Nothobranchius furzeri: one gene and its partner. The protein of the gene in region 2 binds, or shares a complex with, the protein of the main gene of each other region. Links are inferred from orthologs where the notes say so. Each region holds a gene or a part of one and is shown on either strand. Other genes may lie near its edges.

Evidence for each region.
Region 1: coro2aa (region 2) and gps2 share a complex: the UniProt entries of both Homo sapiens proteins name them as parts of the N-Cor repressor complex. The link is inferred for Nothobranchius furzeri from reciprocal best matches to the Homo sapiens genes CORO2A and GPS2.

Annotation. Positions count from the first base shown.
Region 1 is NC_091742.1:53,235,633-53,249,213, reverse strand, and holds gps2 (G protein pathway suppressor 2), read right to left. Parts: upstream 10,102-13,581; 5' UTR 9,962-10,101; intron 9,580-9,961; 5' UTR 9,556-9,579; coding exon 9,462-9,555; intron 9,130-9,461; coding exon 9,020-9,129; intron 8,369-9,019; coding exon 8,256-8,368; intron 8,169-8,255; coding exon 8,089-8,168; intron 8,012-8,088; coding exon 7,932-8,011; intron 7,800-7,931; coding exon 7,628-7,799; intron 7,557-7,627; coding exon 7,473-7,556; intron 7,381-7,472; coding exon 7,304-7,380; intron 5,630-7,303; coding exon 5,540-5,629; intron 4,991-5,539; coding exon 4,898-4,990; 3' UTR 4,475-4,897; downstream 1-4,474. Other genes in the region: eukaryotic translation initiation factor 5A-1, read left to right, coding at 2,376-2,507, 2,602-2,664; gabarapb (gamma-aminobutyric acid receptor-associated protein), read right to left, coding at 12,105-12,185, 13,518-13,581. UniProt on the Homo sapiens protein: Key regulator of inflammation, lipid metabolism and mitochondrion homeostasis that acts by inhibiting the activity of the ubiquitin-conjugating enzyme UBE2N/Ubc13, thereby inhibiting 'Lys-63'-linked ubiquitination.
Region 2 is NC_091744.1:13,160,459-13,177,207, reverse strand, and holds the start of coro2aa (coronin-2A), read right to left. Parts: upstream 9,868-16,749; 5' UTR 9,569-9,867; coding exon 9,554-9,568; intron 1-9,553.

The DNA of each region.
Region 1 (13,581 bases), on a different chromosome or scaffold from region 2:
GGGTGGTAGCCCTGGAGAACCAGAGTTGGTGACCCCTGTTCTACATTCTGTTTGTAATTCACTCATTAACACAAACCCTCTCACAGGATGCTGTCTCACTGTTAGGCTGATATGAATGCTGTTGTTTTCTGTGTGCTTCTGAACAATAACACTAAATCTGAGTCAACCACCACCCAGCACTAGTCAGAAATAAATAACTCTGGTGGTATAGTCTCTCATGTGATGCTTGTAAACACTGTTTCAGAGTTTGCAGTGTGTTAAGATTTATTTAAAGAGCAAGTTCACTGACAAACAATTTTTTATTTTTTGGAAAATCATCAATCTCTGAGTTTTTCCTGCAGGCTGAACATGAAAATAGTCTCCTACACCTATCTCCTGCATTAGCTTCTGATAGAAAGTAGACTACGAAACTTTAGGATTAGAAAAGCCTGACAGATCTGTGTCACACTGTCACTAACATTCATGGACTCACCCATCTGGACTCACGACGGGGAAGGCTGTTGTTGGTTTAGCGTCCAGGAAACAGCAGAGAACATCTCGGCCAGTAGAAGCTAACCATTAGCATTAGCAACTCCACCACACGGCAGAACTCCTCCAGGCTTGAGTTAATTGTGGAGAATAAAACCTCAACAATGCAGAGCAAGCAGAGTCAGTGGCAGTCTCGTGTTGCTGTTAGCCAATCAGAGATGAGATGTCCTAATATCAGGAAATCCAAATCCTGCCATCTGAAGCTGCTTTCTTCTGTTATTCCCCAGAGAATGGATTACAAGGCATTCGTTTCTACTATGACCGCTGCAACTGTATTAAAAATAAGTAAAGTAAAATAGATATTTTGGGTGGAAATTAAGCAGTGAGACCCAATCTCAATACTTACACTTGCACCCTTCAATTGCGCGTTCTCGGCCAGGGGTGCGAGTGCGTAGGGTGTCCCGATTCTCAAGTACGGAAGTTGACCACGCCCCCGTTGCACCCTTAATCTGCGCTTCACCCAAGTCCGCAGCGATGCGGACCTCGGGCAAGGGTATTACCCACAAGTCATTGCTGCAGGAGAAACGGCTCAAGTTCCTTTTCTGAAAATATGTATTCTCTAATGAAATAAGTTCATTTTAGAACGATTAGTTGATGCTCTGAATGTTTTAGACAAAGCAGCAATGAACTTAAATTATTTGTAATTGCTTTGTTGTTTGTTTGAACGAAAGATGTTAATAAAGGTTTTTGAGAAAAGTTTCACAGCCACCAGCATCCCGGCATGCGTTGCAATCGATGGCGTAATGCTCCCTGTCTCAATTCGGCAATTATTTGCACTTGTGTACTAAACACTCAAACCCTACTGCTCACTTTCTCCAAGTGCACTTTGCTGAAAACCGCAGTGCGAGTATTGAGATTGGGCCTTAGACTCTAGTGGGCAGCCATATTTGATTTAATGGGCTTTGGTCAAGAACCTTTTAGTCCTCATATATAATCAGAGCTAGAGCTGCACCAGCTCTGTTAAAGCTTTGGTCCCAATTGATGAGCTAGCGGCTAGTCCGAGCAGTACTGCAACCAGGCGGCCATCTTAAACACTAGTAGACTGCCAGCATCAGACCCCTTCTGGCCTTAAAGTGGCCAGAACATAGTTTCAGGATAAGTACTTTCATCATAAACCGGCCACATCCAGTCCCGAGAGCCGAAACAGAAGAGCAAGCAAAGGCAGCGGAAGAATCACGCTGCTGTTGGCCAATCAGATGAATAAGACTCTAAATGCAACCGTTTTCCAGCCCCCACTTCTCCGGCTAACTTCCTGAAACAGACACACCAAAAAAATGACCCACAAGGCGTTCGGTCACACTAGTCCACAGCAGATTTATGAGAAATGAAGTGAACGAGGACCGATTTTAAACACGTCATGGATACGACGTAAACACTTTCATTTACACTGATGAAGAATTTACATTATAACATAATATCAGCAGATATATTATAAATGGCTGTCTAGAAGTGCTGCAAGTTGATAGAAATATACTATTTTATACACATAACTGTAGTTTTATGTAAATAAACGTGGAGCATTTAGCAGCTGAGCAGTTTCATCACACACATCAGTATTCTGTTTGTGATCCTCGTGGACAGAAAGAAAGCTTAAAGTGTTTTTAATTTTACTATGCATGCATATTTTAACAAACCCTTCATGAATAAATAATAATGGCTGAATAGAGCCAAACATGACCAGAGTCGTGTTTCCTGCTGAAGGAAAAGCAGTCTCAGAGTTCCGGATGTGTCCTGTGTCATCCCACCCCAATCACTGACATGGAGAAGTGGAATCGGCCCAACAAGAACAGCCTGTTTGGGTCACAACTATCTCTGACTCATCCTGACCACTTGCTGCCGTCTCCCAGCTCATCGGGATCCAGGACGGATACTTGTCCCTGCTCCAGGACAGCGGGGAAGTCCGGGAGGACCTGAAGATTCCAGAGGGAGACCTTGGAAAAGAAATAGAGAGCAAACATGAAGCTGGAGAAGAGATTCTGGTCAGAACCACTCACTCGTTGCCCTGAGTACTAAATTCAAAACATTCCTTCACAAAAAAAAAAAAAAGAACGTGATTCCTTTTTTCTTTCCCAGATCACCGTTCTAAATGCTATGGAAGAGGAAGCCGCCATCGGCATCAAAGCCTTGGGGAAATGAGCCCGAGCAGGTAAATCCGCCAGACCTGAACCCACCTGGAGAAGAGTGTGTCTGAAACGTCCGATTACATCTGTGTGTGTGTTCAGACTCAAAGGGAAGACGGTCCCGCCGCCGCTGCTCAAGTTAGAGTTGATGTATTATTTAACTGAATGAATGTATCCATTTACTCACACTTGCTATTGCGTAAATCTGTGTTTGCGCTGTTGAACTTGCACATACGTGTTTGAGATATGGGGTGCCATTTGTAAAGTCAAACAGTCATAATCTAACAGCAATATTTTTGGTTATTTAGCATATCATAAGAGAAAAAATTGGGAGTTCACTTTTTCTTCAGCCAATACGTCGGACATGTTCAGAAGAATAGAACCGGAGACAAAACAAGTTCTGGTTCGGAGCAAGAGTTTATAAAGAAGTTAGCGAGATCCAGCTTTTATTTTGGTAACCAACTTCCGCTTATTGGCAAGTGAATTTGCATATTAGCTAAATGTTTAAGTACCAGCTAAATATTTATTTTCCACGATGTTATTTAGCTCCACACTATATTTTATATTTTTGGGTCAGACTTAAATATTTATTTCCCAAATACTGATTTTGCAAACTAAATGTTTTGCTCCAAAATAAATATTTAGCTGAGATCTAAATATTTTTTTGGGAAAATAAATATTTAATTTACAAATTAAATATTTAGTTCCAAAATAAATATTTAATTAGTAAATTAAATATTTAGTTAGTGAATTAAATATTTATTTTACAAACTAAATATTTAGATCAGACCTAAATATTTAGCTTGCAAAATAAATATTTAACTACAAATTAAATATTTAGCTTGCCAACTAAATATTTATTTGGAAACTTTAACATTTATAAATGTCTGAATAACATGGTGAAAATATGATTTCGAACAAGTGAACTCCCATTTTTTTCTCTTATGATATGCTAAATAACCAAAAATATTGCTGTTAGATTATGACTGTTTGACTTTACAAATGGCACCCCATATTGAGACGCACCTTTTTCAGGTTTCCTGTCTGGATGAATTGTGACATATGCTTTTGTTCCATGTTACCACTTCTAATGTCGCACTTTACAATCCGTGAGAGCTGGAGGCTCCTGGTGTGTATTTTAATGATGAACTCTTGACTTTACAGCCTCAGACGGCACCTTTCTATGTCACATGGGCTGTAGAATCAAGAGTTATAAATTAAATATTTCAAAACACTGAAATGTAATTTTTCTTCGCCTATAAATACGTTTATGGTTCCTGACTCCGCCTCCCCTTTTCTCTCTTTCTTCCTTGCAACTGTTTCAGGGGCAATCAAGACCAATGGAAACGAAGGGAGCTAATGACTCGTCTGCGTTTTTTTTTCATTCTCTCCAGTTTTCTGACCCTCCTGTGGGCTCGGTCACAGTTCACGTCCCGACTACGTGATCATAAACCAGAACAGGTGTGCATATTTAAAATAGATGATCACCTTTAGAAAGAAGAGGGACAGTGTTTTCTTTTTATTGATCCCTGATTTATGAAGGGCTTCATCTCCAGTGGAGGTCTGTTCAGCAGGCGGATTCGTATTTCTGCACAACACCTGGTCTGAAGCAGCTCCATCACCTGGCGCCTATGCGGAACAACGCAACCTTCCTTTTGTTTTGTGTCCAAAAACAACTCCTGGGAAGCTCTTTGCAGAAACTTTGGGAAGAAATGACTCCAACCTGGAACAGATTTGTTTTCAGAGCAGCAGTTTACTTAACCAGGCCCGACTTTGCAGGACGTCTCTGTGGGCAAACAATAAAAAGGAAAGAATGGCAAAAACAGTTGAAAAGTGATTTGTTTATTTAGCAACATTTAAGTGAATAATTCCAAATAACCCAACTTTATTTATGCTACAGCTGGTTTTCCTCCAAATCGTGTTACAAAAGGTCATCCGAGGACAGACAAAAACTTGGGACAAAGTGTTTAAGCTTAACTAGTTAATGTGTGCGGGACCAGTCTCATTGGTCTAATTCCAATCATTTATGGAGAAACTAAAAATTCTGGGTCTGTAATACAGTTATTTTACAAATTTACTATTTAAAAGTGTAGTGAGAACAAAAAAGACAAGTGCGAGTTTGAGGACTTTAAACCAGAAGCGATGAAAGCTACTGTACAAACTTTACATCAAAAAGGTTTAAAACATCAAGACCAGGTCCGACGGCGTCTCCAGAGTGTCCGGGAAGCGGATGCTGAGGGCGCTGTGGGCTACTTGCCATGGTGGTAAAACCTCTGCCCGCTCTGGCTGTGGGACAGGAAGCTGTGACGAGGAGTGCCCTGCGGAGAGCTCTGGAAGGGGGCCTGGTCATAAACACAAAACAAAACCGCCTAAAAAAAGGGCGATGTTTCATTTATAAACATGTCAGCAACAGAAAACTGACGCGTGACCTCCATAAACCTTTACCACGTACGTTTTCCAACACAGCCTTGTTTTGGTAACATCAGGACATCCCTGCTGTTACTTATGCTCTTGCGGAAACAGATTTCCATCTAAATGACTAAGTGGGAGGATTAAACATTACATGAAATATTGGTTTTAAGACTTTCGCTGTTAGCTTAACGGTCCTGTCCGGTGTGACCTTCATTTCTCTGAACTGAGGCTGTTCAGGGAGATATTTACAACAAGAATGAGAGGTGGTGAATCACTATCAAAACCTGAGCCACATGTTTACAACAGAAACAAAGTCCTGTGTAAACACTACTAATGGGCTGTCCGCATCACCGTTAACCCAGCACTAGCCAGCTGAGAGGTGACACAGCGGGGCAGATTGTTGCTGATTTTTACATCACTGATTATAAGAAGCATAAAACAGGTGGTGGAAAGCGTGTGTTTATATTTGTATGGTTCACCTTAGCAGTAGGGATCTGGACCATAGGTGCAGGCAGCAGACCTTGGGCTGAGGGATGCATGGCTGAGGGGTGCATGGGCCTCAAACCGCCCTGAAACATCAACAAGACACAGAACCAAAACACTAAACAGCAAACTCAAGTGCAGGTTGGAGAAGCTGCTGTAGTGCGGCGTTCTTGTTTGAAGGGGATGTACTGTGACTTCTGTCTTAAGGTGTAATAGTCTATGGTCTGCACTAAATCCCTCCCACATAAAGATCTTTCAGCTGTTTTATTCTTGATGGTTTCAGTTCCTTCCTAAATGAGCCGTTTCAGGGCTCTGTCACTTTAAGAAAACAAGCTAGTGGGCCACGACCACCCACCCCCTGATGAGCTACGGTTAGGTGGGAGGCTCCGACATCCATGGGAGGCTTGTAATAGAGCCACTGATCCCCCCGCAGCACCTCTCTCTTGCACCTGAGAAGTGGCTCTATTCTGGTTTTCCTGTTGTGACATCACAAATGTGAACTTTTGGAAACAGCTCATTTTAGGCACATAATTCCTAAAACCAAACACTGAAAGAAAACGGATGGAGGTTTTATTTTTCACATTTGGGGTGTTTTTAGGGCAACAGCAGTAGCTCAGGAGGTAGAGCGGGGTTGTCGAGTAATTGTAGGTTTGCAGGATCGATGCCCCCCCCCCCCCCGCAGAGAATTTAGCTGCTGTTTCCTTGAGCAAGACACGTCACCTAAAGCCAGGCGGACACTGTGCGACTTTTTCACTCGTAGCACTCAGCTTCAGCTCTAACTGTACGACTTCCTCGCAGGGCAGATCTCACGAGTCATGCGCTCACACTGCACGACCCAGTTCTCGGATACGACCTGACTGCTCACACTGTACGTCTGGTAGCAACAGGTCGGCCCAAAAATATGCTAAAAATAGCAGTTTTTACACAACACGTCAGACTTTTTTGTCTTGTTTTGCCTGTTGTCCTTCAGGAGTGCTGCAGGAGGACGCACAGGGATTTATGGGGGTTGGATGAGGAAAACGAAATAAAGAAAGTAAATCTGTGTTTTGTGATCAGTTTAATTTGACATGAACACGACAAACACGCTTTCTTGACAATCTTTGTGTGTAAAAAACGTGTAGAAATTAAAACGGACAACGTGTGTTATTAGGGAAATAGCGAGCGAACGGTGTTGATGCAGGATTGCGCATGCGCCGTGAGCGGTTCTGATACATTTTGGGTTGCAGCTGCTCGCAGCGCCGCTTCAACAGTGCGATACCCTCACGAGGGACGAGCAAAATATTAAACACGCCAGAAGTCCGTGCGAGCTCACGACTGCTGATCGGTAGCTGGTCACGTGGTGTTAATCGCCTCTCGTAACCCCCTGTACACTACACGACGCTCGGCGCAAAACTCGCCCCGATCTCGTGGATTCTCGCACGACTGGAAAATCGGCTCAAAAAATTGAAAAAGTCGCACAGTGTACGCCCGGCTTAACTTGTCTTTGTTGGTGGTGGTCAGAGGGGTCGATCACGCAAAAAGGCAGCCTGGTCTCTGTCAGACTGCCCCAGGGCAGCTGTGGCTACATAGTAGTTTACCATCACCAGCATTGAGTAAATAATGGAAAGTGCTTCATAAATCAATATTATTATTACAGAGGCAGTATAGACTCACATGGCAGCACAAAGGGATGCTATAGGTTAGTTTTGCATAATATGTCCCCGTTAAACAAAAAAAAAAAAAAAAAAAAAACGCAGTAATTTCAAACATTTTGCTCTTACAGCATCAGTAAAGCCGGACTGTTGGTTGGCGTGTTCCAGCTGCTTCTGTAGAGATATCGTTGGTGCTGGGATGTATCCTGAAACAAACAATTCCTACTAAGTAAAAAAACAAAACATCAAGCGTAGTTTAAACAACAGCGCTGGGCTGCGACATACGGGTGAGACTCACCTGACTGAGAGGTAAAAGGGCTGTGAACAGGATAACCAGCCTGCTGATGAGGGAGGTACTGCATGGCTTGAAACGCAGACGCACCTGAAGGTAAACAGATGTTTAGACAACACTTCCTGTTGTCCTCAAGCTGATTCACGTTACTGATGCCTCACCTCTGATCTGAGAACTGCTGGGGAAACTGACGGGTACTGAAGGTCCTGGAGCATAGGAGGAGGGGTGCTGGGCCTGAGCCACCCCGTAAGGCTCATGGACGCCCTGGCTCCCGCTGAACTGTCCGTGTTCTGCTGAGCCTGAACTGAATGTGGGGGTCTGATAATGGCGGGTCTACAAGGGGAGATGAAGGTATTAAGAAAAGGGACTTCTTATTTCTTCTCACTTCTGTTTACACAGAGACTGTTTAGAATAAAAATGAGTACATTTGATGTTTAGGGGAGGCCAGAGATCCTGTTGACTTACAGGGATCACAGAAGCAGAGAACAGCTGTTTGCTGCGTTCTCCCAGCAGAGCGCCGGGTCGACTGTGGCTGACTGGGCTGCCTGAGACAACAGAAGTCACAGGACAGTTAAAACTACCGCCTACAGTTCCTGACGGAGGACCAGTGACGCTGTCTCACCTGGGATACTGAGGAGGTGCTGCCCTGTGTGCATGGACAGACTGGGCTGGTAGCTGGCTGATGTCAGGGTAGTGATGTCACTACAGAAACAGGAAGGGGCACAGGCTGAATTCCACCAGTCATTAAATGATTTAAAAAAAAAACTCCATAATATTATTGGGTTATACCTCTGCTCCTTTCTGCGCCTCTTCTCTTCTTCGTGGAGAACTTTCTTGAGTTGTAAAAACAACTGATGCTTCTCCTCTTGGAGTCCCTGCAGCTTTTCTTCCATCTTCATCACCTGGTGTTAAAATACAGGCACAGCATGTTTTTGTATCAGAGCTATTAACTCTGATAACGCCGTAAGCTCCAGTTGGTACAACATTCAGCAGCACGTGTCCTAACAAAAACTCCCTTACCTCACCATATCACCCCATCCTCAACAGCTTCATTGGATTCCACTGCAAGCCAGGATCGATTTTACAATTCTCCTGCTCACCTTCGAGGCCGTCCATAACCTTGACCCTCATTACCTAACAGATCTCCATGTCGTCACCTCGTCCCGTTCCCTCAGATCATCCTCCTCCTTCATCTCTCTGTGCCCTCTGTACGCCTCAGCGCCATGGGGAGTAGAGCCTTCTGTTTCATCGCTCCCAAACTCTGGACCTCCCTTCCCCCTCGCATCAGGAACATAAACTCACTTACTCGATTCAAAACCAGCTCAAGACTCACCTCTTTTTTAAACCACCCATCTACTTTGAATTTTAGAGTGCCTTGTTTATTTTCTTTCCTTGTACTTATGTTTACTTACTTACTTATTTAATAAATTTGTGTTTTTATCATGTACAGTCACCTTGAGTGTATAGAAAGGCACTTTTAAATAACATTTATTATTATTATTAACAAAAATAAAACAAGCTGAAGATGGAAATGTGATTTTTATGTTACCAACCTGTTCTTTGGTTTCCTCTAACGACATCCTCTCCTCTATCTCCTTTGTCCTCTTTCTCTCCTCCTCTTCCTTTAGCTTCTGCTCCATCATCTTGTCTACTTCCTCTTCCTCTGAAAATCACATTATTAAGCACGCAGAAAACCTACATTATTTAGAGAAGAATAAACACTAGATAAATGTAGACACATTTTGATAATTAAATGAACATTTTCATCGTTTAGATCAATTGCCTGTTGATGTTTGTGTCTTGGAGCAAAAATTGTCTAGTTTAGTAACCAATGACTGTAGAAAAGAACTGGATGGGGATGAGAACTGGGATTTTTTTTTAAAAGGACTGAGATTCTAGAACAGAATGGAACAAAATCAGAATTGTACAGAAAGTGTATTGTATCGGCTACAAGTTCAGTATATGGTCCGTTCAGTCAGAGAAGCACCAACACACCTTGCCTCTTGCGCTCCCTCTCCCTCATGATGTGCTTGTGGAGGGCTCTGGCCATCGCGTTAGACAGCTTGGGTCTCTCCAGCAGTGCGGGCATAGTGACAGGCAGCGGAGGGGCCAGCTAGTGTGGTTAAGAACATCATTACAGGGTCACCAAGCAGACCCGGAAATCATTACATTGGGCAGTACGTAGCTAGCGTGTAGCAACTCCATAATAAAGCACGAGTAAAATGGGATAAAATGCTATTAGCTGTAGGCTAGGCTAACAAATACTGTAATACACGTTATTATGAATATTTCTAACTTAAAACTCTCCTGCAAACACGAATACATTTTGAAACACAAGCTATGTGCTTCTTCACAAGCAAAACTGTGACAAATTAGTTTTTTGGGGACACATAGGGAGTTACGGTTTGCTAGCTAGATGCAAAGCACGTCGCCGTGTTGCCTGGTTTAGATCGACTTTACTTGAATGTCAATTTGCAAAATGTATTTAAACTTACTTTTGTCGTTTTGTGAGTCGTTTACGAAGAATTTAAATATGCTCCAGTATTCTATCTGTGGCGTATTTAGCTTAAACTTCTGCGCAGGTATAAATGAGCAAGGAGCGGTTTTGGGCCCGGGTGAGGAAGTCAATTTGCACTTTCGGTGGTGATGTTTCCTTCGCAAAGCATCAAGGGAATTGTAGTTTTACCCGTACTATTTATGAGCTTGGAAAATGGACAACATCCTTCATGGTTTTGACCAAGAATCTTTGTTCATTATCTGAAAACCTTAAAATAAGTACATCACACTTAAAATGTTTTTAGAGTTTAGCTCTTTGAAAAGTACTGTTGATTTAGAAAAGAATAGACTTTATTGATCCCACAGTGGGGGGAAATTCACTTCTCACAGAAGCACAAACGCTTAAAAGAATTATTTGAAGAACAACAAAAGGTACATGTATATATAAACACAAGCAGTAAGCTATTATCGTAACCTTCGACCACTAAAAACCATGAATGAAAATTTAAAAACTTGGGTTCCAGAACTATGCAGCATACTGCAAGTGGTCCATGCAGTCAGATGTTCGTCCGCTCCTGCACCCCTCATCTTCTGCTGCAGTAGACACGGCTGGACGTGTTGAAAGCACTTGAGAAGTCGAAGAACATTTTTCTCAGTGCTTTTTTGCACCTCAAGGTGTCGGGGCCTGGTGCTGCAGGTAGATGAGCACGTCCTCCACCTCATGTTTGGTTTCTATGCAAATTGCAGTGGATCTACTTCCAGGCTCACCATTGAACGTAAATGGGTAAAGATGAGTCTCTCCATAATCTTCCATCAGATGGGAGATCAAGGCGACTGGTCTGTAGTGGTCTGGTTCCCAGGGATGTGATGTTTTGGGAACTGGAACCACACAGGAGGTCGTCCACGTAACGTGGACCTGCTCCAACTGAAGGCTCAGGTTGAACATGTGCGTGACATGTGCGTCTTTGAGCACTCTGGGGCTGATCCCGCCAGGACCTGCAGCCTTCCTGCTCTTAAGCCACCTTGGTTCTCTCCTCACCTGGTCAGATTTAGGGGGGGTGGGGGGTGCTGAGGGTTGGTAGTGAGAGGAGATGCTGTTGAATGGTGTAAAATTTGTAAAATATGTAAAATTATTGAATTGGAATGTCCCACCGCATCTTACTCTGGATTTGTGTGTGTGATTAAGAACATTCAATTAGAAAACATGTACCTGATGAGCAATTTTCTACTATTAGAATAAAAAGTTTGTGTTTCCTGGTTAAACTGAGCACCCTCAAATCTTAAGGCAGTAAGTCACACCTTTCAAATAGAGGAACAGAATCTAAAGGCTGAACAAAACTGACGTTTGAACATCAACAACTGCTGTTCAAGATCCAAAATTCAATAAAAACCACAAATAGATTTCTAATAACATTTTATCAAGTACGGCATTGAATGGAGAGAGAGAGCCAGTAAAGCAGCTGTATACAGAGTTCAATCTGTTATTAAAGAAAACAAACTTTAAAAAAATTGCACTCAGCTTTACAATACCTTTAGAAAATAAGCCATCTAAAATGAACAATTACAACAATAATCATAGTAGCAGTCAACATAACTTTACCACTGAGAGCAGAGCATGATCGTGTGAAGTCTGAATTCTACTGAACTCCTTGCTGAGATCAGATGCAGGGCACCACATTGTAGATTTTATTTAATTAAATAGATGTCTTCCAAAAATAAAAAATAAAAAGTTTTTTCCTAAGAAGCAGCTGCTGCAAAAGTTATCCCTTCCCCTGCCAGAGACAAAACTACAAGCCTTTAATTCAGAAGTAATAATTTCCTATTCTAAATCATTCTAAAACTGCACACCTAATTATTAAGTTTTGCACCATTAATAACTGATTTAATTTTCCTTCTCATCGGCCGATAACGGCACTAGAAACATAACTGGCCTTGAGACCACCAGGTGAGAAGAGTTACTGAATACAATTCAGACTGCAGAACGATAAAGACCAGACGACTGAGAGAGAGGTGATGTAGAGTTGAGATGAAAGTGCATTAGATGGGTTTACTGTGGGGAACTCTAAGCTGCGGAACTGGATTTAATATTCAAATGACTGAAAGACAGAGGTCTCAGAAAGGTGGGTGGTGGTTGGGGGGGGATCAGATTTCCCTTTGGCTGTTCCCATACACGCTCTCGTCACTGTAGGCAATGTAGAGGAAAAAGTCCTCCTCGTGGTGCTCCTGAGAAACAATTATGGGATAAAACATTGAGATTATGTCAAAAATACAAAGAAGCAACACTAAAGAGTTTTAAACACATTCCGCTATTGCTTTCAAACTGCTTTCAGCGATTCTGGAGCCACCAAACTGAGCAACTTCACATTAGACCGCATTCTGTGGCCCTCTGCTGGCCACAAACTGCACCGAACATTTTTGTGGTTTGGGTAAAAACAAAAGTGGGAAGTCTCTACCTGATTTACGACTGTTGGCAGCTTACTGCGTCGATAGCTAATCAGGGTATCTGCAGGTTTAAGGGAGCCAAATTTAAGACTTTTTTAAGGCCACTTTGACCAAATTTAAGCAATTTTTTAAAATTTCAGCTATAATTTCCAGCTATTGCCTGGATCCGATGCTAACCACGTCGCGAACGTGGGATTAGCCATCCAGTTACCATTAATGTTGCACATCCCCATGGCGCAAACTCCCACTAGCATGCTCATCTAAAAATAGCCCCCTTTCACAACCGACCGAATGTGTACGGTTCCGCTTACGCCAATATCATATACAAAAAATGCTGACCACTAACTAGAAATTCACGAGAATTTTATAGAAATAAAAAAATCTTGTTTATTGGGTCTTTGGTAATTTAAGACCTTTGTAAACTATTTGAGGTTTATTTGTCATTTTTAAGGATTTTTAAGGCCTTAAATTTGGAAAAGCAAATTTAAGACTTTTTAAGGACTCGCAGATACCCTGGCTAATGTAAAGGCTAACAGTTACCTTTTTCTATTTGCTAATTATACTTTTAAAAAAAGAGAAGAAATTAGCTTATTTTGTTGGCATCATGAAGTAAAAAAATGTCTTTGGAGGTGAAGACATGAGCCTAAATCAGATTGAACATTGGCACGGCCTACACTAGTTTGAGGGAGCACGATGAGGCTACAAAATCACTGACTGATGGTGACCTGGCTTTGTTGTTACTGGAACTGTAATATTTTTTGACCAACAGAGTGGATCTTTTTATTCTGTGGCTTATTTTATTAATAGCTGGCTTAAGTTAGCATTGAGGTTGCAGGGATTAATCGGTCGTTTTACTATTAACCCTGGTTAACCCACCAAAAAACCCCAACACCATACACTATTGTCTTTTTGTTTTTTTATTGGTGGTGTTGGATGCATCTTTTTGGTGGGTTAACCAGGGTTAATAGTCAAACTGGTTAAACCCTAGTAGGCAATAGCTTATTAAAAGCACTAGTTACAGCCTATTTGATCGCAACAGTTGTAACTGCTTTCAACTAGTAGGAGGGAGAAATGGGAAACTTTAGTGTTGCTTTAATGTTAAGAGTGTCTCACCTGGTACAACAGTCCCATGGTAGCTGAGGTGGGCGGAATGACGTTGTTTACAAAGAAGAAGAGA
Region 2 (16,749 bases):
AACTAGCCTATAACCGGTTAGCTCTTTGAACAGCCTTAGTTTGAAGAAACATAGACTAGTTCGGAGTGTATCAAGAACAGCCAACAGCACAGCAAAGACCAAATTTGGGTTATTTCTGCATCAAAACAACTCTAAATTCAAAAGTCTCACTGAGGTTTATGTGACTGTTATTTTATTATCATTTGCATCACTGTGAATTGCAATGGGGTTTTGCAACCACACAGCAACAGTGAGCTGCAGCACTTCCTGTGCAGCATGGGGCTCTTTCAAAAGTAGGGATGGGTACCGAATTCGGTACTTTTTAAGGTACCGACCGAGCACCGATTCACTTCATTTGAAACGGCGCCTCGTTTCGGTACCCGTCCTTCACAACGAGAACTTGCCTAGACAGCTGCGCATGAGCAAGAGCGTTATGTCGTCGGTCCCTGCGAACCAGTTGTAAACAGAGCAGCATGGTAGAAAGAACGAACGCTAACGCTTGGGTCCACTTCACTAAATGTGATGGGTAACTGGGTGATGATGAAACCAGCGACAACGATCTAAGTGAGACATCCTCATCTTAATCTGCTCCGGTAGGTAAATAAAATGTTTAAGATAACGTTAGCTTGATTTGTTAGCTTCCGTTTCACTAATGGTGCGTTCGCTTTCTCCTCAAAACTCTGAAATTCCGACTAGAAGAACATGAACGCGCACTAAAGTTTGGCTTCACTTTACTAAATGCGACGGGTGAAGATGAAACCAGTGACAATGATTTAAGTGTGAGGCATCATCGTTTTAATCTGCTCCAGCAGTTTAATAAACTGTTTAATATAACGTAGCTTGATATGTTAGCTTCCTATGCCACCATTGTTATCATCTAATGGTGCGTTCGCTTTCTCCTCGGAAATTCTAACTTCCCAGTAGGAAAAATCAATTGAAAAAGGGCGGTAAAAGGAATGAAGATACACAGTAAATTTAGTTCACAGTAAAGATGTTTGCTTCAGTTTGATTATCAGCTTATAAAACTACAAGGACAATGTTAAAATACAAACAGTTGAATGTTATTTATCGTGATATTTATCAAATATGGTTATATATTGAGAAAAATATATATTTAATTATAAAAGAGAATTAAAATATTAAACACTCAAAAGTATCGAAAATTGGTACCGTTAAGTACCGGTATCGATTTGTAGGTACCGAGAATTAGTACCGGATCGATTCAGATGTCAAAGGTACCCATCCCTATTCAAAAGCAATCTTGTGACATTCCTGAGGGAATGACCGCTGCAGCAAAGAAAAATCAGCTGTTGTTAAATCAGAAATCACCAAATCTGGTATCGGCATGTCAGAACTTTGCAGGAATCAGGAATCAATACCTGCCTTGAAAACCAGAATAGGTGAATTTTTAACAGAAACGACAGCAAAATAATTGTAACTGTAACTGTAACTGTCCCTGACTGGGACCAGGAAACGGGACCACATCAGTCCAGTTCTGGCCTCCCTGCACTGGCTTCCGATTTGCTATCGCTCACAATTCAAAATACTCGTCTTTGTTTATCATTTCTTCCAGGGTGGTGGTCCCCCCTATCTAGCCACACTCCTGAAAAGACACTCCCCATCACGCACTCTGCGCTCCTCTGACCAAGGCCTGCTCGCTGTCCCTCGGTCTAGGTGTCGTACCCGTGGGGACCGGGCTTTCTCAGTCCTAGCACCGTTACTCTGGAACCAGTTGCCACCCTCAGTTAGGCTGTCCCCTTCTCTGCCAGTCTTTAAGAATCACCTAAAAACACACCTCCTCCGCTTGGCGTTTGCAGAACATGTTTGATTTTGGCCCTCTTTTATGTTGAATCCATTCCACAGTTTTCATTGGTACACTCAATCCATCCACTCAATCCAAATGCGTTTCACACATTTGTCCTTTACCGGAATGTTTCATCTATCTTGTAATTTCCATTTTGTATTTTGTAATTTGTATTTTGTAATTTGAATTTCTTTTATTGTTGATTTATTCAATATATTTACATACAACTGTACAATGTTCAGCGCTTTGGGCTTCCTGACAGGGTTGCGGAAGGCGCTTTATAAATAAAGCTTTGATTGATTGATTGATTGATTGATTGTAAAACATCTTTTTTGTTGATGTACAGAAAGCCTGAAGAGGGACGAGAATTCACAACAATTGTCTTACTGTTATTTATGATAAAGTTTTAGAGTTTGATGACCAAGCTAACATAAATAACGCCCAGCTTTGTTGAACTAGATTTGTTCTGAACTCCTCTGGTCTCAAAGCGTGACTTATTACTCTGATTACGTTTTGCACCAGTATCATCAATAGAAAACATTGTGTTTACAGTCAGATCTATGTAAACAAAGCATGTGAGACTGGACTTCAGCCCTGGGATTAATGGTGTCCCAAGGGGTGGCCAGAAAAATGCTGGCTCCCCCAGCAAAAGCCAGTGTTAATAAATCATATTAATGTTCACTCAAAGAATAAATTGATCTGGTTTATTGAAGACATGATTGGAAAACAAAATAAAGATAATACAATTAATAAGTAAAGAAATAATGAGAATTTTAAAAATGGTTTCTGCTGCTCACCATTTAAAAAAAGTTTTTATCTCCATATTTTTTGTGAACACAGCAACAGGTGAATTAAACTAAAAAATATATATTTTAAAATAATATTAGAAGTAACATTTTAAATGACAAATGTACTTTTCTGAAATGTTTGTGTTTGTAACATTTAAGATGAATGTTTTGGATATGTACTGTTTTTTCAATAAAAATGAATAAAGGAGCAATGCAATACATCGCCACAGGCTAAGCTCTCCCAGAGTTACCACAACGACCAATTTGGTGTGCCACCCCCAAAAGATTATTTGGCCCCGTCTGGCGACCCCTATCAAAATTTTCTTGGAGCGCCCCTGCCTGGGATATTGACTATGGAGGGTCTGGTTTGTGTGGGGCCCATTTGGATCAGACCAGGTTCTTTGTTGTGTTCCTGATCGGGTTTTGTGGTGTGGTGAGGCGTACCATTATCCAGCTGGGAGAGGCCACAGAGTATCTGTACACAAGTAAACACCAATTTACAAGTCAACCACTACCAGACCGTGAGTCGTGCTGCTGCCATGGCAACACAAACACACACACACACACACACACACACACACACACACACACACACACACACAGATGACCTCATGATGAAAACGCAGCTTTGATTGGTAGAGCTGCAACTCATTTGCTCTCATAACCTCTTCAAAACATTGCAGCGTATTCAGATCTGACCGTGCATGTCCCATGTAGTAAAAATATTTATTAAAACTATATCCCCCCCCCCCCCCCCCCACCACACACACACACACACACACGTTTTTGTACTTCTAACTTCTACAGATTTATCTGCGAGTTTTTAAAGGAACATCTGACTATTTTGAAGCCTCAAGTATTTTAGTTTGGAAAACTGATAAAAATTGAACTAAAGCACACAGGTTTTTAATCATCTGCTTATTTGTGTTCATTTTAATTCGTCTTCATCAGACCTGTTTCCGTACTTCATCCCACTGAATGCATTTCAAGTCACAAAAATCAGGAAAATGATCATAAATATAACAACATTTATTCCTTAGGATATTTATTCCAAAAGACACCTTCGATCTAGGATCAAAGGAGACAGGATTTTAAGTCTTTTAGGTAACAGCAGATATACGCACGGGGGAAACTAACTGACAGATGAACAGAAAAACAACCAACTCACACTTTTAACAGGAAAAATGGAAAAAAGGAGGTCCAGCATAACAAACCACACAAGTCACATGTTGGACAAAGAGCGGGAATCTCAGGTATGTGTTAGCAGTCTGATAACATGCCAGGAGTCCTGGTCAGGGTTTTATGACCCAACATGAAAGACTTTCTATTAGAAACAAAGTGCGATGTTTAAATTAATAAAACTCCTAAATTATTAAAGAATTTCCAAACTAACTTATTTTTTTCCCAGTTTTACATATTTGGTGGTGATGTTTCAGAGTAATCAGACTAATGCTTATTTGGACACCGGTCTCCCTTGGACAGATCGAATGTTGGCGCGACACCTCTAACACACCAAGTCGTGACTCCAGCTGGAACACTGCTCGTTTATGGTTGTGGATTACATTTTGCAAACCCCTGCAGACTCATGGAGTGCGTTACAGTGTGCAGATCGTGAGGGACTAACTTCTTCTTTGTTTAATTTGGGCAGGAAAATTTGCATGAAACCGCAGCAGAGCTGAGGGTTAGTGACTGACCTCGCTGTTTATCTACTGAGCTTAGGTGGAAGAGCCAAGGCGTGAGTGTTTTACCATATTTAAGGATGAGTTCAAATCAAAAAGGACTTTCTGTAGGAATATTTTTAACAAGGTTTTGGTATGAAGACTGAGATTTTGTTTTTTATCCGTGCATGTATTCCAAGACTTGAATCCTGAAAGGCTTTAGATCACACTCAGATCATCCTGAGTTGCTCATTAATATCGATGGTCATAAAATCAGAATCTACTTTCTAAATTTGGGACCGGTGGCGCCAGTGCTCGGCAGCCTCGCCTCTGTCAGTGCGCCCCAGGGCAGCTGTGGCTACATCGTAGCTCATCCCCACCAGTGCGTGAATGTGTGTGTGAATGTGTGAATGACTGGTTGTGTTGTTAAGCGCCTTGGGGGGTTCCAGCACTCTAGAAGGCGCTATATCAAATACAAGCCATTTACCATATCTACATGTTGCTTATTAGAGATTTTTTCCACATGTTCAACGACGAGTGCAATAAATTATAGTTTAGACTTTTGTGCATATGAAATAATAACATTTTATGCATAACATGTTTGCGTTATGCAAGTGACTTCACCACACCCCCACCATTAACCGTCTAGGACAAAGCTGGTCTGTGATATGAAACTGGTTGGAAACCTGTGAGTTTAAGGCAAAGCATCCCTGGAGCCAAATAAATTCTGTAGTTTGTTGGTAGCTTAAAAGTGGACATCAGTACTTTAATAGTTCCACAGGAATTCAAAAACATGAAGTTCTTTGCATTGAATCCCTCCCACATAAAGCCATTTCCGCAGTTTTATTCTTAAAAATGTCATTACCTTCCAGAATGACCTGTTTCAGGGCTCTGTCACTTTAAGAAAACAAGCTGGACCAGGCCACGCCCACCCATCCAACGCTCAGGCTGCTATAAGCTGAGAAGCTCCGATATCTGGGTGGGGCTCAGATTAGTACTACGTCTCCTCCATCATTAGCTCTCTCCTGCACATGAGAGGTGGTTCTATTCTATTTTCCACATTTGTGATGTCACAAACAGGGACTTTCTGAAACTGCTTGTTTAAGGCAAATTATTCCTAAAACCAAACACTGGCGGAAAAAAGATGGACAAGTTTTTTTATATGTTCAATAGTTTTTAGTAGTTTAGTAGAAATCCATAAGACAGCACAAAAGTATGCAACATGTGAATTATGCGTAATATGTTCCCTTTAACTGAAATCCTTAAGGATAAAATGAGAGAATATGAAGCTGCAGAACAATGTTCACAGACCTTCCTGGATTTTAATTTTAGACCCTGTCACTATCTTAGGGGCACAGCAGCGCAATTCAACAACCACTTATGTCTGTTCACTTTGTTCAACTTCATTTAGTAAGCAGAAGTTCTAAGGTTCATAAGCCTCATAATCAAAACATTATTGAACACAAGGTCCCGTCCTAACCCTGACCCAGCACGAGCCAATGTACTCTGGTACACTCAAGGGAAATCGGACCCAAATTCTAAAACATGATCAGCATTAGACATGGGTCACTAAACACCAAGTTTTCTAACTGCTTTGTCTTTTGTCTTAACGTTTGTTTACATTCACATGAGAGTGAGTGAAACAATGGACAAGAACCATGTGGAGCTTCGGTGGCCCGGCAGAGTACAGCCTCGAAGAGAGTACATGAGTGATGGTGTGTTTGCACACATGAGGACAGCATTAACTCCGGGAACAAGGCCAGATTTTTTTCATGATCACATTAGCAGCTTGTTTGCTGCATAAGAAGCACAAATGTATGAATATCAAGTAGTTTTTGCATGATATCAGGTGAATACTATCACAAAAAGTGATGCTGGTTTCCAATTTGTCTAGTGAGTAAACAAACACTAGAACAAGTTCCTAACGTTTAAACTGATTTTAAACCATAATGGCTCATCTAATGTAAAGATATGAATTTACAATCAGCATTCAAGAATGATTTAAACCTACAAGATGCACTTTGTCCGATCTCTTTATGAAGAAGAACCCAGAACTCCTGAAAGGGACCAATAAGGGGCCACTGGTTCAGACATGGATGACACCTGGGTCAACAACATCAAGCACACAAAGGAGGATTTAAGGACCACAAAGCTGAATTTCTTGATTATTATGAATACTGAAATGGAATAACTTGAACACATCTATAATATATTACAAACCAATCTAATTAAGTCAGTTGGGTTCAGTTTGGTTTATATAGCACTAGGGCTGCACAATATATTGCAAATTTATCTATATCGCAATATCAGCATACGTAATATGCATATCACAAAGAACAGATAAATATCGTAATGAATGGTCAGCTCAAATGTTTGCTACACATAATGTAGTCTGTCAATCAAATAGAGGCATGGTGTTTTTTAACAAATCAAATAGAGCTCTTCACCCATTTGGCCAATTGGGTGGGTTCTCATAGGTGAGATGCCCACCCCCGTGGTGTACGGCACTTAATTTTGATGGTAAACAAACACCTGAGTTAGCTTTGTTCTGCTCTTTCTGCTGTTTCAGCTTTTCCCGGGATCCACTGATTGCCTTTTCTTGTTCATTTTCTTTTTCCCTTTCTTCACATCCTTTGCTTTTCTCCTTTTTTATGATTAATTTGTCTTTTTTTATATTTTTGTTTTTGATTATTTTTGTTCCAGTGAAGTTTTTATATATCGGAAATAATATCGTCATCTCAATATTAATCACTGTTACCGCATATCGCAGGTTTCCCTAATATCGTGCGGCCCTATATGGCACCAATTCACAACAAGAGTCATCTCAAGGCACTTTACAAAGTAAACATTCCAATTGAATTTACTTATCAATGCACTGTGTTCAGTTCATTATTTAAAAGTTTCCTGCGTAAGAAAACCCAGCAGATTGCATCGACTTTACAGCAATCCCCATACTAAGTACGCATGTAGCGGCAGTGGAGAGGAAAACTCCCATTTCAAGTAAAACTAACTTTGAGCTAGAGGTTTATCATTGATCTCAGTGATTGTTGGGTTACAAAGCTGACCAGTTTGATATTTGACACCACACTGCAGCCCTCTGCTGACCAAAACCAGCACTAGGTAGTTTTGTGGAGAGGGTAGGTGTCTTCGGGAGCTGTCTTTACCTGCTTTAGGGCTGTTAGCTGTAATGCTAGTGGTTAGCATTTTTAGTTCACCGAATGTCAATAAAAAGCACAAAAAGAACAAGTCTGCTTTTTCTGTTGGCATCATGGTGGAGCCTAGAAATAAAAGTAAGAGAAGAATGTCTTTGGGGGCGAAGCAAAGAGCTAAAACTGGAGTAAACATCGGCACAGCCCACACTAATTTGAGGAAGCTAAAGGAGGCTACAAAATCACAGACAGATGGTGACCTGGCTTTGTTGCTTCTGGACTTATGTTTATGTTTATTCACTTAGCAGACGCTTTTATCCAAAGCGACTTACAATTTATAACCTATAGGGCATGTTGTGATCTGTGGGGGAAACCGGAGTACCCAGAGGAAACCCACGCATGCATGGGGAGAACACGCAACTCCACTCAGAAAGGCCGCAGCAGAGTTTCGAACCTGCAACCTTTGTGCTGCAAGGCAACAGCGCTGACCAATGCGTCACCGTGCAGCCTTGGACTTGTAAGTAATAATATATTTTGTCCAATAGTGTGGGTCATTTTACTTAGCTCATGTTAATGTTAGCTCATAGTTAGCTTTAGCTATAGCAGATTTATTTATGAGAGTTGTTATTCCACTTTTAACCAGTAGGGCAGTGGAGCACGAAGCATCTCTATGTTATTTGAACAGGAAGAAACCTTAAAAACCTGGGTCAGTATGAGCAGCCGTCTGTCGCGACTCACTAGGGTTGGAGAGGACAGAGCAGCTACACAAAAAATAAACGGCTAACCTAGTAGTAGTACTTTATGTGTTAAAGACAGTAAACTGTTACTATCAGGTGACAGAGAATGTTCAGTTGTTGCCAGTAGAGTGCCAGCCGATGGTAAGGGTCGGTCAATTTGCTCACATTATATCCTCATTTCATTCACAATTTGACTGCCAACACCTCCCCAAGTTGTCTCATGTTTTTGCACTTTCTGACACAAAGAGGCTAAATTGAAAATGCTACCAGAAGCCTGCAAACACTCTGTAGTCAGTATTTGCAAAAAGAAAATTGCAATAAAGAATTTCTCTGAAAACAGTAAAATAATTGTCCCAGGCATCTGGAGTCCTTCTCAATGAGAAATTACTTTGGAAGAGCTGGTGACCAATTTGCAAAAAAAAGACACATAATTAGGAGAACTCTTCAGAGCTGCAACAATTTTTGCACAACAGTTGGACAAATGGTAAATAACCTGTATTTATACAGCACCATAAAGGGTTCTACAACCCCCCAAGGTGCTTTAAAACTAACCGGTCATTCACACGATTGTGGTGATGCGCTACAGCATAGCCACAGCTGCCCTGGAGCACGGACAGAAGTGAAGCTGCCATACACAGGTGCCACCAGTCCCTCTGACTACCACCAGCAGGCAAGGAGGGTGAAGTGTCTTGCCCAAGGACATGACTACGACAGATGGGCCTTGAACCTGCAACACTACAGTTACAGGATGGGCACTTACCTCCTCTGCCAATTCATTTGCAATTAGATCATACACACTATGTGACCGAACTTATACAAAACGTGTCACATGTTCCCCTTCGGCATGAGTCCAACAGAAAATTTGCATATTTTCTTGTAATTTTGTGTTTCCATCTAATCCCCAACCACTAGATGCTGGCTTGTCTGTCACTAATTTCCAGTAATTGTTTTAATCCTATGATTTTTGACAGAATCTCATCTCTTCTAATTCGTCATTTTCATTTTGCAGCATCAACCTACCAGGAAGTCCAGGTGAAAAGGAGCCTGTGTGCCTAAATCTGACATATTTACAGGATGTGCTTGAGTTGCACTCATGACTGATTCATGTGCACTCACTCAGTCACTGCCCCACTTTTACTGAAGAAGCCTTTTGGATCAGGTGAAACACAGGACTGGGTGTCACTGTCCATGCTAGTGAATTAAACACACATCTTTACTAAATCCACACTTTTCCCTGCAAAATATCCCATCAGAGAGGAGAGTGATCAACCCCAGGTCATGAACAAGTCTGGAAATTGGACCTCCCCTCCTCTATTCAACCTTGGGCATGGCAGGGCTGCAGAAGCACGCGGGCGGAACCCTCCCACATGAAAACTCTCCTCAAGAGTCCTGACAGCACAGTCCCACACCTCAGACAGCGCAGATGGAGGTGACTCACCTTTGAGACGGTCATGTGGCGCAACGAGCGGCGGCAGCTGGAGGTTGATCCGGGAAAAGGAGGACTAAAGCGGCGGAGCTGCTGCTGCTGGAGGTGGATCCGGGTGTGTGGAGGACTCGGCTGAGCTGGGATCAGTTGTTATATCACCAGAGACAGATGCTGTTGCATGGCGGCTGCTGTCTGCGGAAGTGTCCGAGCTCACAGACCCACAAGTGTCCGAATACAGCTAACAACAGGCCGCTTCTCTGACCCGTACAGTCCGCAGGAAGAGGAGGGAGAGCGGAGGAGTGATGCGACCAGATGCGACGAGGGGAGGAGGAGGAGGGAGGGGCCATCAGGTGCATGGATAAAAAGGGACTTCAGTAAAGTTAGCAAGATATTCACAGATTCTACTTTTGCGGCTCATTACCTTCTGAACACAGGGGTATTTAGAGCAGGGATAAAAATAACCTGAAGTAGAACAAACTCCTGAAAGTTTTATTTTCAGGTATTGCACCAAAAATAATCTAGTTTTATACATTACACTTAAAGTTTTCTTGTTCAAATGTGCAGAAATAATCCAACAAATCAAACAATGTTTTAAATAAATAAAGCATTAAGAGGCGCCTTTATGTCTTAAAAGTGCAATTATTAAAATTGCAGACCAGTTTTCTTGGTTTGTTACGATTTAAATGATAAAAGATCCTTACGACAATAAAACGGATCAGACACATTTTTGTACAACCTCAAGTGATTTTAGATCATTCTGGGACTGAAATTAGCTCTAAACAAACAGGAAGCTGCACATGTATAATTCTATATCGACAATTTTAGCAAAAGTTTAGAAATAAGCAAAATTATCGTTTTTCATAATCAGTTTCGTGTCAATTTGACAAAAGCAAAGATATTTTAGAGGAAAGTGTTTTATTTGTGCAAACTCTCTTAGAAGAGTTACATCAAAGTTAAACTTTACTCATATTTTTAATACATTTGCAGTAGTCTCTGGTAGGAATGAATGCTTTAAGGGGTCCTCAACTAAATTTGTTCAAGGGACAGAGTTTTTTTTATTGTATCTTAATTTATTCATGTTAAAAATGGCTTTATTCTCTATCTAAGCTGTTTGGATTATATTTTTACTTGTGTTTGCAGAACGTAAAAAATGATTAATATTTGGGACATGAATGTTGCTGTTGCTAAACATCTATAAAGTTCCCAACTGGGGGCCATTAGGGGGTCTGGCGAGCCAGATGTGGCCTGTGGGCTGCCAGTTGAGGTTCACTGCCTTAAGTCTTCTCTGGGGAAAAAAAGCTCCAGTGCGCCTGTTTGGGAATGGGTTTTTTTTTTAATTGAACATTTTTCAATATTAGAGACTTTAAGGCATACTCATTTGTGCATTCAATATCTAAACATTAGATTACAGGGCACAGAGAACATCCACATTCATACATTAGTGTAATTAACCTAGAGGTCTTCAAAGATTCTCAGGTTATTTTTACTTTTGGCCAAAGTTGTTCTCTGGCCAGCCGGTCTTCCTTGGTGAAGCTCTGGGCGAAGCGAATTCCTCTCTCTTGGCAGATCTGTGAATTTTTTTGTTGTCTTCCAGACAGTCTCCCAGTGGAGCCTCCTCACGAATTGCATGATGATCTGTCTGCATCTCCCTTTTTTTTTTTTTTTTTTTTGCTACCGAGTCAGTCACGTTGCCAATATTATCAGCCCAGCCAGGAAAGATTTTTACCAGGAGTTCTTCTATCATCTCTCTGATGTTTTCTCCTTCTTGCTCTTTGAGCCCCGAAAGTCGCAGGTTCCAGCGACGTTTATAGCGCTCAGCTTCCAGCAGTTTCTCCTTCATGATAGCATTTTCCCTTTTTAGCTCTTGTTCTTTCTCCAGAACTTAAATTTTAGACTTACATTCCTCAATTTCCACCGTGTTTTGATCGACCCGTTGGAAAACTCCAGTGAATAGGTTAGAGTTCTCTTTGCGTTGCTTTCCAAATCCATCCACTTTTATCTCCAAGCTGTGAATCGCTGCTAAAATAGCAGCTAAGGAGAGCTCAGGTTCAACTTTGGGTGCCATTTTTTTTTTTTTTTTAGCAGGTGTTGGTTGTTTTGTAGGGGTAGTAGTTAGCGGTCTTCTAACACCTGCAGTGCTACTGTTTGCCTTGCTTTGGGTTGACGTATCCATCGGAGTGGCAATTTCTTTTGGTATTGCCAGTGCTGGTCATTCCCGGTTTAGCCATGGGGTCTGCGTTCATGGAGTAGCTATGGAAGGCTAGCGGGTTTGTGGCCTTACCGGTCATTGGTCTGAGCGGCGGAAAGTCTTTCTCTTTAGACATTATTTTGTCTATTCTTCTCCGTTTGTTTAGAGAGAGTTTCAATATGAGAGTAATCGTCTTGTTCTTGTTGCCTAAAGAGGACCTTTTAGGTAAAGTTTGGGACGAAGTGAGCAGAGCTTAGAAAGTTGCGTGTGCCCTGGTCGCCATCTTGCCGGGTCTCCGCAACACAACTCTGCACTAACTTAGTTTGCTTTGCAACGTTGATGTAATATCTCCATACATAACACAAGTTTGAAGGAGTTTTGCTGTGTGATGAAGTTGCTAATGCTAACAGTTAGCTTCTACTAGCTGTGATGTTCTCTATGGTTTCCTGGACGCCAAACCAACAACAGCCTTGCTGTCACAAGTCTAGATGGGTGAGTATATGAATGTTATAGGTAACAGTGACATAGATCTGTCAGGATATTCAGATCCTAGAGTTTCACCGTCTATTTTCTATCAGAAGCTAAAGCAGGAGATAGGTGTAGGAGACTATTTTCATGTTCAGTCTGCATGAAAAACTCAGATTCAGTCATTTTCTGATGAAGTCTCAGTAAACTTGGGAGGTTTCCCTCTGCAGAAAAAAAAATCTAATTCTTCATAATTTTGTTTCCGGTCATTTAATTTTCATATGTTAGGGATGCTAAGGAATGTTTCTTTGGAAGAAATTCTGAAATTCCAATTCTTTTTTTTTATTTCTTCAGTAGCTTTTTCATCCCCCTGAGCCCACCTCCCCACCATTTCCACAGGAATGGTTGGGTATTTAAGTCGTTTAACTCTGCCCTGTCAGTCAATCATTCAGATATGAAAAATATTTTCAAATTCAAAAGATGAATCAAGGCTGAATTCCCACAGAACCAATTTGTTACCAGCAGCCTGTCACAAAAAATACTTTTTGTTCCCATTTATGAAGCAGAATCCACAAAAATCCTAAACAGTTCGACACATAAAATAATACAAGAGGATTCCCAAAGTAATACCCTGATAACGTGACCTTCGGTAGATTATTGAACACAGCTGTTTGAGATGTAATAAACTGAACACATAATTGTTTGAGTTTTATTGCCACCAAACCACCAACAGCTGCCTTTAGCAGGCCTTTCTATTCACAAGTGCAGCTAGTTTATCAACTAAGGTGATTTAGACACGTGAAGATGCAGCAGGGTGCTCAGCTGAAGGAGTCAGAGCTTTTTATAGCTTCTTTTATCTAACGTCCAAACCAAGAAAACAGAAATGAAAGTTTTTTTGTTTTGCTTTTAAATAAATTGGAGCAAAAAACTAGTGCAGATAATAATATAGATATAGCAATAGAACCTTGTGTGGTCTAATATTTCTTCTCTTTGCGCTGCAGGTTTTGTTCCCTGGTTTCAGAAGCACTTCTCTCATTCTGTGGTCACAAGATTCAGATTCTGAATAAGTCACCATAGCTAGGTTTCAGATTCAGAGAGAACTTTATTAAACTCTAGGGAAGGTTCCTCTGCAAAATTCACACTGTTTATGGCTTGAGTCAGTATAAAAACCAGTTGTGTGCCTCATACTAACTGTTAGGTGATATCATGTATGGGTGAAACTTAATCAGAATATTGTACAAAAGTTTATTTATTTCAGTAATACAAGCTATACAATGAAACTAATGTATGACATGGACGTAAAAGGGAGATGTTTCAAGCCTTTATTATAACTCTGTTAAATTTCTCACTTTTGTGGCGGTCACACTTTATAGCGTGACGACTGCAAATTAATTATGACCAATAAGATGTGATGATTCCATATGAATAAGAAATATCAATCTGATTGATCTTTGAATGTTTAATCAGAGGATTATAGTTACTTTTACTCGTTCAGGGACCATAAACACACTTCGTATTAATTCAGACAGAGTCAAGTTAAAAGGGAATTTTATTCTTTTCTAAACTAATGATTATACGTGACAAGATATGAATAATGAGATGTGATGGAGTGGATATGTGGTGATGAAATGTGACGTGTAGGGGTGTGATATAACCTAGATGTTTATCAGAACCGTTGTATTTGAAATTGTGAAATCTGGGTGAAAAATAATTTGTTGTCCACTATAAACTAGAGAGTTGATTATTAATAAAACAGCTTCAGACGCAATCTGTTGTGTCTACAAACCCTGGCGGAGACCCCCAGCAGATCCGGACTGTCAGAAGTCGGGTGGACCTCACAGCACCGGGATTTCGTAGATTAAACTCCGATACGACCGTCCAGTCTCGAGATGTCTCCAGGTCACAACAGTAGCTGGAATGCTCTCTACGTCTAAAGTGGATGTAGCTCTTAATAATAATAATAATAATGCATTGAACTTATATAGCGCTTTTCTAGACACCCAAAGACGCTTTCATACACACTCACATTCACACACTGCTAGTGATGGTAAGCTACTTGTAGCCAGAGCCGCCCTGGGGAGGTCTGACAGAGGCGAGGCTGCCATTTGGTGCCGTCGGCCCCTCTGACCACCACTAACACAGGCAAGTTGGGTGAAGTGTCTTGCCCAAGGACACAACAGCAGGATACCCCTGGCGGGAGCTGGAATCGTACCCATGACCCTCCGATCATGAGGCAATCCGCTCTACCACCTGAGCTACAGCTGCCCCACTGGCTCTTAGGGAGCCATCTGGCTGTCAGCTTGCAGCGTGCAAACAGGTTCTGACGGTATGTCAAAAGAGATGTCTCAAGGATGCTTGTTCCGAATTGGCCGGTTCGGAACTCCGCTAGAAACTGAATTACTCGGGAAGTATTTCCTGTTTTATTAAACTACTTTATGATTTCTGGCGTATTCTGGCAAATCAGAATGTGTCATGTCTGGAAGGCTTTACCAAAACATTCCTCAGAAAGCCACGCCTTCCTTCAGATACAAAAATGTTTTTAACCTTGTATCTTATTGTAATGTGTATGAGTGTAAACAACGATTAACTTGTTAAATCAAACAGTGATTTGTGATATAAATGGATCATTGTAAGAACAATATTCATTTCAAATTCATCAATTTAAGCACAGGTTTTTCAAACATTTAAATATCTTGTTCATTCATATGATTATTTAACTTATAAGTTGTAAAGCCTCATAGGATTCGTGTGGATTCACTTTTATTCAAAGTGAAGAATCCAGCTGTCTGACTTTTAGCAGAGAGATAAGGCTTTAGCGGGAGACCTCAACAGTTTACGACTGCATTGAAGAACAATAAGTGAGCGAAAGGTTGATCTGTGCATCTGGACCCTCCAGCTGGCGTAACCTTGACTTTGCAGCTCTGACGTGCATGAAAGTTTACAGTCAATTCTATGGTGAAAACTGACCCTTTTGATACATCACACTTTTTTCCACCTCAAATTTATATTCCTGGAATCAAATTATGATGTATGTGGCTTTCATCCACAGAGGTGAGGCAGCAAGAACCAAAAAGACACCTTTATTTTCACAGTTAAATCAGACTTTTCTAAAACTTGGCAGCTTCTGAAAATTGAAGCACAAATAACCAGTTTATCAGCACAATCTGCTGCCGTCACCTAAAGCTGCACCTGGACATCAGTTTGGCCCTGGCACCACCAAACGAGACTGAAACATGCAGATCTTGCTGTTATTTGCATACATCCTGTAGGATTTGTTTAGCGTATTACTGAGCTGCTCACTGTGGAGACCATGGACAGCTCCTTCAGAGGCAGACTGGCAAATCCCAGATTTAAAACAGAATGCTACCTTAGATCATTCATCCCCTCTGTAGTAAGACTGTATAACTCCTCAGTTGAACTGGTACTGGCATTATACTGGTGCACAATAACATCAATGCAATACTCTGTACGAGGTCAGTTCCAGATTTACATAGTATGTCTGTGTTATGCTGCGTAGTTCTGGAACCTAAGTTTCATTTTGGTTTTTCAGTGGTTGAAGGTTACAATAATATTTGACTGCCTATGTGTTTATACCATCGACATAAATATACACGCGCACTTTTATAATTTTTCTGAAGAGTTTGTGCTGCAGTACCAAGTGAAATTTCCCACTGTGGGATCAAGTCTATTCTATTCTAGCCGTTTTTTCCATCTCAGGTCTGCACGAAACCCCCTGAACAAAATACTCTACATAAGAAACTCCAGCCACACGAGGAAAGTCTCATGTAGAATGAACTGTGGCAGAAACCAAACAGCTACAAATTAAACGTTAATGTTATTGAGAACATAAACTCAGGTGTTTGTTGCCTCCTAGTGGTGAGGAGCAGCCGTTACAAGAAGCTTCACACGCTTTAGTAGAACTACTTGTACACATTTACTTACTAATGGAGTTTTATTTTTGTCATTTTAAATTTGCTCCAAATTTCTTTAAGAATATTTCCAAATAAAAGTCTGATTAAATATTTATAATAAATATTTACATATTTTAATCCAAAGCAGATAAGACCAAAACATTTTATTGTGGATTTATTAAAATGTACCTACATTTTTTTCCTCCATATGGCATACAGATAGATTTTTTATTCATTTCAAGGTTTTTCTTTAAACTCATAAGTTACAGAATATCATACAGAAGCTTAATGCCAGAACTGGGTCAAAAGGGGTTGCAAAAATACATCTTAGCATGTTTTTTTATGTCGTCAGTGTTTTGCAGCATGTTGCAGAGCAGTCGTGTTGAGCCGTCGAGGTGAAAGGAAAGAGCTCCGTAATACTAACCTTGTACTGGGCGTGGAGGCGGATGAATCCAGGGTGGAGCACAGAGAAGAGTTGTGAGCAGAACGCAGGAGAGACGCTCACAAAACACTAAATTAATAATCATCTTTTATCGCTACGTTTTAAATCCCTCCTCTTTAGATTTCCCAGATTAGACTGTGCATTAAAAACAACTAAAGAACAGAAGACAAGCAGAACTGGTCACAGAGGTTTTGTGGAGATG